Oryzias latipes: one gene and its partner. The protein of the gene in region 2 binds, or shares a complex with, the protein of the main gene of each other region. Links are inferred from orthologs where the notes say so. Each region holds a gene or a part of one and is shown on either strand. Other genes may lie near its edges.

What was found. The genes of interacting proteins can lie anywhere in the genome.
Region 1: the proteins of smurf1 (region 2) and smad1 are in contact, whole or in part, in an NMR structure (PDB 2LB1), measured with the Homo sapiens proteins. The link is inferred for Oryzias latipes from reciprocal best matches to the Homo sapiens genes SMURF1 and SMAD1. Residues at the interface, in NP_065162.1 of Homo sapiens: Glu313, Val314, Arg315, Ser316, Arg321, Tyr323, Val325, Asp326, His327, Arg330, Thr331, Thr332, Gln333, Phe334; in NP_001003688.1 of Homo sapiens: Asp221, Thr222, Pro223, Pro224, Pro225, Ala226, Tyr227, Leu228, Pro229, Pro230, Glu231, Asp232.

The regions. Positions count from the first base shown.
Region 1 is NC_019859.2:18,371,865-18,376,583, forward strand, and holds the end of smad1 (mothers against decapentaplegic homolog 1), read left to right. Parts: intron 1-569; coding exon 570-713; 3' UTR 714-3,307; downstream 3,308-4,719. UniProt on the Homo sapiens protein: Transcriptional modulator that plays a role in various cellular processes, including embryonic development, cell differentiation, and tissue homeostasis.
Region 2 is NC_019866.2:19,096,749-19,101,085, reverse strand, and holds the end of smurf1 (E3 ubiquitin-protein ligase SMURF1), read right to left. Parts: coding exon 4,307-4,337; intron 2,695-4,306; coding exon 2,610-2,694; intron 2,536-2,609; coding exon 2,436-2,535; 3' UTR 1,099-2,435; downstream 1-1,098. UniProt on the Homo sapiens protein: E3 ubiquitin-protein ligase that acts as a negative regulator of BMP signaling pathway. Mediates ubiquitination and degradation of SMAD1 and SMAD5, 2 receptor-regulated SMADs specific for the BMP pathway.

The DNA.
Region 1 (4,719 bases), on a different chromosome or scaffold from region 2:
TCACTTTAAACTACTAGAACTGTCAGGACACGGTTTCCCACAATGCACTGTTTTGTAGTGATAAGGTGCCTCGCAGATACAAATTTAGTACTGCGCTGAACTGGGTAGGCGCATTGCACCCGCCCTTTTTTCTCGAGATGCTTTTATGATGATTGACATGTGACGAAGCATAAAACTAACCAGCATACACCGCACAGCAGGTGATCTGTGCAGCACTGCGTCCGCCTGGGGGATATCAAACACTATTAGATGACTCTGGTGATCACACATCCTGATAGGCTGAAGACACTTGATTTAGGTAGATTTAGGTAGTCCCGGGAGAGCTGGGACACAGGCAGGATTATGTAAATTATGTAATCCTGGAAACATTTGTTTTTAAATATTTCTTATATATTAAAAAAAGTTCTGCACATTTGTAATTCATGTGAAAACATAGTTTGATTTACAAGACATTCTTGCATTCCTATAAATAATTGCCAGTTGTTAAAAATATATTTTTTTAAAAAGACAAAAGAAAAATGAACAGATATAACTAGTTTAGTGATTTGTGCTGTTCTTTCTTCTTCTAGGGCTGGGGAGCAGAGTACCACCGTCAGGATGTGACCAGTACACCCTGCTGGATAGAGATCCATCTGCATGGTCCTCTACAATGGTTGGATAAGGTCCTGACCCAGATGGGCTCCCCCCACAACCCTATATCCTCTGTCTCCTAGGCTTCTGTGGCCCCAGTGGTCTCTGTCCTCAGCCCTGCGGCTGTCCACACCCCAGCATTTTTGACTAAGTAGCAAGAATAGCAGCTAACTGGTCCCAAGGTAGTTTGCGGTTTACTCCTCACTTGTAGAGTTTTGACGAAAACCCAAACTGATCTGGGACCTGCATCATTGAACAGGTCATAGGTAGGTTTGTTTTGTACTTGAAGGACACCAGAATTGGGCACATTTACAGACTGGGAGAGGGATAAGCAGAGTTAAAAGATGCAACTGGAAATTACTTGATCTTTGTGACCAATCATTTGACCGACCATCACATGCATCATGAGGTGAGCGTCCTCTTAGAACTGGCTTTCACTGTTCCTTCTATCAACTGTTCTGTCATTCTGGAAAACAACTCATTTTGTATCCAAATATTTCACTCAAAACTCAACATGAGTAGTGACAGTAGTTATGGGACCAGGTCACCAAATGTTACAGTCGGTCGATATTTTCCGTGAATTATGTTCTGCAATGGAATATATAAACGGAAAGTTCTTTTAAAAAGTACAGAATTAGCGGGGAATTTAGTTATTGCTAACTAAATTCTAACTAAAATCAGCTAACTCTGGAAACTCAACAAGCTTCTGAAAATGTTTTTTTAAAAATAAAAATGAATCATAACAACAAAACAGCCTAAATAAATCAGAAATAATTAGTGTAAGTGTAAAAAGTAGCATTTAGTTAGAGGCATGAGACTCAAAGGGCAATTCAGTCAATAAAAAAAAAAAGAAATTGAAATCTCAGTGTTGTTACTGTTGTTACATGTTTTCTTTTACGAGAATGATTAAAAAATACTATCATGACATATTTACTATTAAAAAATGTGCTGTGCAGTCTGTTTTTTTTGTTTGTTTTTTTGCGATGCATAGTTTGTTTAGTGTAGTGTTCTGCATTTAGGACTGATAACATGAAACTGCAGCAGTTTGCAGAAAGAAACGTGCCCGACATGTGGCGGCACTGCTGATGCACATCTATATACACGTCACTGTTTAGAACCATGCTTCCAGTGAAACCCACCCACCTTCATGCACTGAGACTCATGTATAGAACAAATGCATTACAGAGAGGGAAACATATTTTTTTGAAAAATCTTTAACCCTGTAACCTGTGTTGTGGAAATATTGTCACTTTTGTTTTGTCAATGAGAGTAATCATGCAAACATTGTTGATGGTGCTCCAAAAATATTTGTCATTGTCACCTTTTTTTTTTAACTGATCCTCCTCACTCTTTTCTTTATATTGTGGAGCATTAAAAACCTTTTTTTTCCTCAACACATTTTTAATCACCCTAGTGGAACTTCCTTTGCCTACTTCCTGGTATTTGCTTCCCTTTTCACCTTTGGCAAACCATCATTGCTGGTTAATGTTAAAGGATTTGCCAATGTGGGAGGCTAATTGGACTGAGTTCTTTATTTTGCGGCAAAACGTATTTGTGCCCATAAGCGTTATCGACATTTTACGAAATTCTCTGCTCAGATAAATTTATTTAAACATATGTTTAACACTCCAATGAAAGTTTTTTTCAGTCACATTTCATTTCTTCATTTTAAGGGATTTTTTTGTTTAGGTCTTGATTTGGTTTCTGACTTTTCTAGCTAGTTTTTTGTCATTTTTTTTTTTCACTATTTGTCTAGGGTCCTTTCATTGTTTTTTTTTTTTCATTGAATTACTTTCCCTTGACTTCCTATACTCACAGACAGCTGAGTTTGGATTTTGTGAAGTGTTGTCCTAATCCTATGATGGCGGTGCAAACAAAACAAAATAAACATTTCAATTTTGAAAAAAATAAAAATAGTGGTAAAAGCATATTGTAACGGGGATTAATGCTTTTGCAAACAAGCAGAGTGGGGACTGGCACGACATACTCTACAGAAATAATAGTGTTTTTGTTTACAGCACTTGAAAATTCCTTCAAATCCCTAATTTTAAACTCTGAAAGAAGGTGCGATCTTTTTTAAATGCAACTATTATCAAATACAGATGAGGTTTGCAACAAAAGTTACAATTTGTTGGATCATATTTAGAGCCATAACTGACTTCCACTGCTGCAACACAGCACAGCAAGTTCAGAAAAGCTGTTTGTTTGTTTTTGTTGGAGGAGCTGAACTAGTTTTCCTTTCGTTGACCTCGGCCCAAAAATGCTGATTCACTGAATATGGGATTGCTTCACATTTCTGCCATTACAGTGTAAATATTTTATTAAATCTCTCATATCATTTTTACAGTGGTTGGAAAAAAAACTCATTAAAATGACTTAAGTAAAAAAAATAAGCAATCAGGTGTTAACCAATGAAAGAGAAAGTGTCACTTATTCATGTCAAACTATGTTTTATTGATGTCTCTTTATCTTGTTTCTTTTCTTTTTTTTAAGATTTGTTCAGTTTTCATCCGTTCTTGCTTTGCTGAACACATAACATTCTTTTTTTTGTATTTTCAACATTTTTGCTTTGTCTGCACTTTCACATGTTGCTTCATTGTCTGTTTTGCTCAATAAGGCAGTTTTGTTCATGAATATCAAGTCTCTACTGGAAAATTCAATAAAACTGTTTCAATAATTGTCGTGTCTGTTTTTTCACCAATTTATATCAATATTTATTTAATCAATTTTCAAATAAATTTACATAAATACATTGGTCATGCACATTTCATCGGCCATTATCCCTTACTTATTATCTAATATATTCATTTGTAGATGTGCCAAAGTTCAAAGTCATGTTGCCTTAATAAAAGGTCAAAAATAGAAAAATTTGAAAATAAGAGGATGTCTGGTCAATAGCCATTCATTTATTCAAAAAATCAAAAGCAGAAATAGCAAATAATTATCTTAAAAACCAACATATGCTAAAGTCCTCACTGTTCAATAGATGGTGAAGGGATCAGAAGCAGGTTAAGGAACTACAATCGACCCAAAAGGAGACAACTTTAATCCAACTTATGGAACCAAAGCTTGACAATTTCGTAGGTTTACTGGTGATGAACACAAAAAGATAGGAAGATGAGAGAAAAATACATGTAGGTCACGATTACTGAGAACACAAGTGCTATTTCTCATTTTTCTGAAAAGCATTTTCTTGATAAAATAACCAATTGATATCTTAAAGCTTGTTAAAGAATGATGGGCAAAGCTCCGAAAGGCTGCAGGAAATCAGAAGAAATTGAAACTAAAGTCTTCATTTATCATTTAATGTATGAAAAGGTTGTACAAATACTGTGAAAACTATGAGCATTTTAACCCTTGTGCTTTCCTAGGCACTTTAACATTGAGAGTTGGGTCATCTAGACCCATTGAACCTTTTTTCAGTGATTTGTGATCTTCACTGGTGTCCATGGATTACATGAAATCCTCTCCACCTTTATCCACCTTTGTCATGGTAGGGAGAACATGGCTGAGTTCTTAGACTTTCACCAGTCATCAGGTTGTTATTTGCTTTTGTCAGGCTTGATAAGTTTCTTTTTCCCTTTAACAGAAACACTTTGCTGCCACTTGCTGGTTCAAACTGTCCATCGACAGGCTGCCTTCTATTGGTTATTCCTCAAATGAATCATGTAGATGCCCTACTGAGTTTATTGATATAAACTTTCTTTTGACAGCTATTACACTTAAGTTAAGAAGCCACATTACATAAACATTAAAGGATATGTTTTGTCACAGGCTGAATTTACACACTACATGCACAGTGTGCCGTTTTTCTAAAAAAACACATTTTTACCCCTTTAATCGCTCAGTATTGGTTTTCTTTATTAAAACACCTTTAACATAAATACTGCAGTTTGCTGCAATTATCTACTAAAAATATTTTTGGCATCATGAACTGAAGTAAAAAAATACCACTGATTTGTAAGATAGACCAATCATTTATATTCTTAATTATTAAAAAGTATAATTTATGCTCTCACCAAACTGCAAACATAGATTTCTCAAACACACATTAAACCTTGTCTATCAATAGAGAAGCTTTTGATTTTA
Region 2 (4,337 bases):
GTGTCACCCAAGCCAAGGTCCTAGAGGCCTGGGAGCTTGAGGGTCCTGCGTGGTATCTTAGCTATTCCTAGCACCTTTCTGCACTGAGATGTCTGAGGTCCTTCCAGGGATCTGCTGTAGCCACTCCTCCAGTTTCAGGGTTACTGCCCCAAGTGTTCCAATCACCACGAGCACCACTGTCACCTTCACCTTCCATGCTTTTTCCAGTTCTTTTGTGGGTTTTGAAGCATCCATTTGCTCTGCATGTCACCTGTCTGAGTAGTAGCATTCCAACAGATCCTTGTTCCCGCAGCTAGTCCATTTCCATCTTGTTCGAGTAGCCCACTTTCCATCAGGGGATGTGGTTCCCCAGCACCTGGTTGGCCGGGCGACGTCATGACGTGTTTCATTGTTTCTCATGGGGTATGAGGTTTTGCCCAAGCATCCTCACTGGATAATGTAAACATGATCATTGACCCATTAATTGCTCATTGTGACCCACTTGGAATCAAACCCAGGTTTCCTGCATGCCAGTCCTGCACTTAAGAGTCCAATTTCTTACAAAGTTTGGGTGCATGTAGAGACTTAACCCTTCTGTTATGCCCCCCCCCCAACCTTTGTTCTAATTAATGCAATAAATTAGTCACATCTGTAGTCTAAGGATTGCCCTCCAAGTTGTGTGCAGAAAGCTCCTTCTCATCTGTTTTCCATTCAAACTGTGACATTTACTGTGATTTTTGTCGTTACATATTCTTCTTTTCTTGCTTTTCACACAGATTAAAAAAATCATGATCTGATCAAGTGGTGTACAAGTAGCTGGAAATCACATTATTGGGGAGAAATGATGTTTTCCAAATCAGATAAGTTTGTATGAACATTTGAATCATTTGATAACTCATGAAAGCAGGTTATAATCAGCTTTTTGTTGGGCCTGTAAACAAGAAAAATTCTGAAAAAATAAAAAATATGTGCATTAAATAAATGTTTTTACACAAATGTAAAACAAAAAAAAAACACTTTCTATGAAAATATGCTGTTAAATATATTTTTCATTCCATAGTTGGTTGAATTCCTCAGTTTCTGTATTATTTTCTAAATCAAAAATGAAAAAAGCCAACATTAGATTTTCTTTTCAATTTAATTCATTTAATATAATCTTATTTACATTTTATTTTTTCATAAATGTTTAGTACATTGTAAGTTACAATACTTTGCATCCATTACACAGTGAACTCTGACCCTAGAAAGAAACGTCGTCTGAAATCATAATAATGCTTTTGTAACAGTCTTCAATCCACAACAGAGTTAAAGGTTTTTCCGTGTTTTATTCCACCTTTAAAACTGATTTCCTTCTTTTGGGATTTTTCATTTTTATGGCGTTTTAATGGGCTGTAGTGAACAGAAGATGGGCAGAGAAAGGTCATGGATAAAAGACAGCAAGATGGGCATTGTAACATGAATAAAAGGCTTAGAAAACATGCCACAAATAAAAAACTCCCAAAAGTGCCTTTATGTTTTCATGATTCAGGCTCATTCAGATACAAAAAAAAAAAAAAGAACATTATCCACCTTTAGAACATCAATTGAGTTAGATTTCTAAAAATTAGAGCAGGGAATATAATCTCCCTTTGACTTTATTGTAACCTGGTATATAAAAACACCAACTTTAATCATACGCTGCCAGAGTAATTCTCCGCAGTGATATGAATGCTAAAAAAAGGAACAATTCAATAAAACCCACTTTGTGGATTGCTTGAACTGCTTGAGCGTCAAGCAGTGGAGGGGTAACAGATTAGCACGAGCTCGTCGTAGAGCATATAGCAGCTTGGTCAGTCATCACTTAGTAATAAATAATAAAACATCAGAGTGGATGAGAGTGGTCGCCAAACCGAGGATCAGGCTCATTTGATCGTTTTTTTTTTTGTCTTTTAAACAGCATAACTTGAGCGCCATGCTGGACACACACATCGACATTCACACCAACTCACACTCTCCATCATGCACCCGGACATAAAAACGCACATCAAAGTGGTTAGACGTGAAGCATGAGTTACAGTCGCTCAGACAGTTCTTTGCTTTGTTCTCCGCTCCGAAGTCTCCGCTGGCGGGCCGGCGTGTGACTGTCCGGTTCAGTCCAGAGACTCAAGTGCGACAAAAGTTCTGTTTTCTTGTGGTTAGACATTCAGAAGAATGACATCATAGCTTGTTAAAACTGAAGGGTAGAAATGCTTCTCCAAAACGGGTTGAAAATTGGTTTAAAATACTTTTCTGCCCTGTCCTCACGCTGCTGTGCTTCCTCCCGCCGCCACGTCGGTCCGGAGGCGCACGGCGAACCGCGGGCGGTGGGTGTTCTCGTGAGGCTTTTTCATTTTGGGAGGGTGTGTGTATTTGTGTTAATGTGACACAGTTGTGTGCAAGTGCAGGCGTGACTGTATGAAGAGTCGCCGGTGGACACGTCACTCCACAGCGAAGCCGCAGGTTTCCTCCACAGCCGTCAGCAGCTTCTCATAAAGCTTCTCGTAGGACTCGTATGGAGGGATGTCTATTCTGTTGAAACTGGAGACACAAACACTTTTTAGTCCACACTCGAGTGCAGGTGGAGGGGAGAGCTGCACCGTCTGCATCCTCACCATGTGTGAGCTTTAGGCAGGTTGTCTGTGTTGGCGTCTATCAAGTGAATGGTGAAGAGCCTTGGTCCTGCAGAACCTGTAGAGCCTTACACAGATACATTCTAGTTATCACTGCTCTTCTTCGGAAAACAGATCAGATGAAAACGGCACTCTGGAGAAAAAGGTTTTTTTGTTTTTTAAGGGAAAATGATCTTGGACGTTTGTTAGAACCAGGAACAGAACAGAACAGAAGAGTCCTGCCAGTTCTGCCGCTTTACACCAAACAGTCATGAGAAAGCAACACTTCACATTTATCCTCATGTCTTAACCGCTAAGCGTCAAACTGATCTTCAGGTCAGATGTACAAATGGATCCGGTTTTTATTCATCCTGGAGACACAATCTAAAATCTTTCTTGTTTTGGTTCCTTATGCTTTAAGCAGAACTGACAAGGCTAAATTTAAAGACATATCATCGAGGCTCAAAATATAACGTTTTAGAGAGAAAAAAAACATGCTAGAAAGGGTGTTTTGCTTAGAGACAGAGGACTTATTGTTGCATTTAGACATGTGAGAACAAAGTGGAGTCGATCCATAGAAGAGCAGCCAAAGCAAATGTTTCATTCCACTTTTTCAGATTTATAACAAAGTAACTATAAAGTCTCCATGAGGAAATAAAACCAAAGATCTATATGTTTTATGAAATGTCAGTCTTTAGGGGTTAAAACTTTAAGTTAAGGTCTCATTTTTCTTTTTTCTGCTAGAAATCTCCAATTATTTCTTTTTTTAAAGAGTTAGAATAAAAAAAAATCGAGTTTTTGGGGATTTAAACATGTTTGTGTGGCATTTTTCTGATGGGAGGACATACAGAAAGAAAATGACTAATTTGCACAACTCAGAGGTGAATTTCTGATGACCCTCTGCTGCTCTGCAGAAGCTGTCCTAGAAAACAACACAAGTGTTTTGATTTTGGCTAAACACCATAATCATGAATAAATAAAACACTTGCAACGCTTTTACAATAAATTAAAATAAATGATTGGAGTGGGACTTGAAGTTCTTAGTAAATATTAATCTCAGTTATGGTAGTACTCAATTATATTTAAAACTGAGGTTGAATTAAAACCATAAACTAATAAAATCTATTTTACTAAAATATTAGCTTCACGTTTTGCTTATTTGTGGTTTATTTTTACATGAAATAACTAAGATTTGATGAGGAAAAGGCGATTTTTTTGGTGCACTGAAAACGATCCATGAAAAATATTTTGTTTATTTTTAAAGTTTTATATACGTTTAGTCTCTAGACTTGCCACTAAAAAAATATTTTTCTGTTTTAATTTTTAGGGGTTAAAGTTATCCAAATGAGTCATAAAATTGCTGTTTTGAAAACTGCATTTTCCCACTTAAAAATGCAGATCAGAAATATTATAGGCTTAAAAATAAACAAGCAAAATAGCCATGAGAATAATTAGCCTGACAAAATTAAATTAAGTAAGAAGGGCTACCAATCATGAAGGAGGAAAGATTTTGGGCCAAAGCTCTGCTTAATGACAAATTCTTCATCGTGCAGCAAGATACTGAGGTTCAAAGTTAGTCCAAGTGTTTAAAAGCAGCTTAAGGACTTTTGGTTTCATTTCAGATCAACAGGAGAAACTAAAGCGTTCGTTTTGATTCAACGGTTAAGTGAGTTTACTGAGTGAACCAGTGCTCGACCCACCCTGCAATGCTTTGAACCCCTGCAGGGGGAC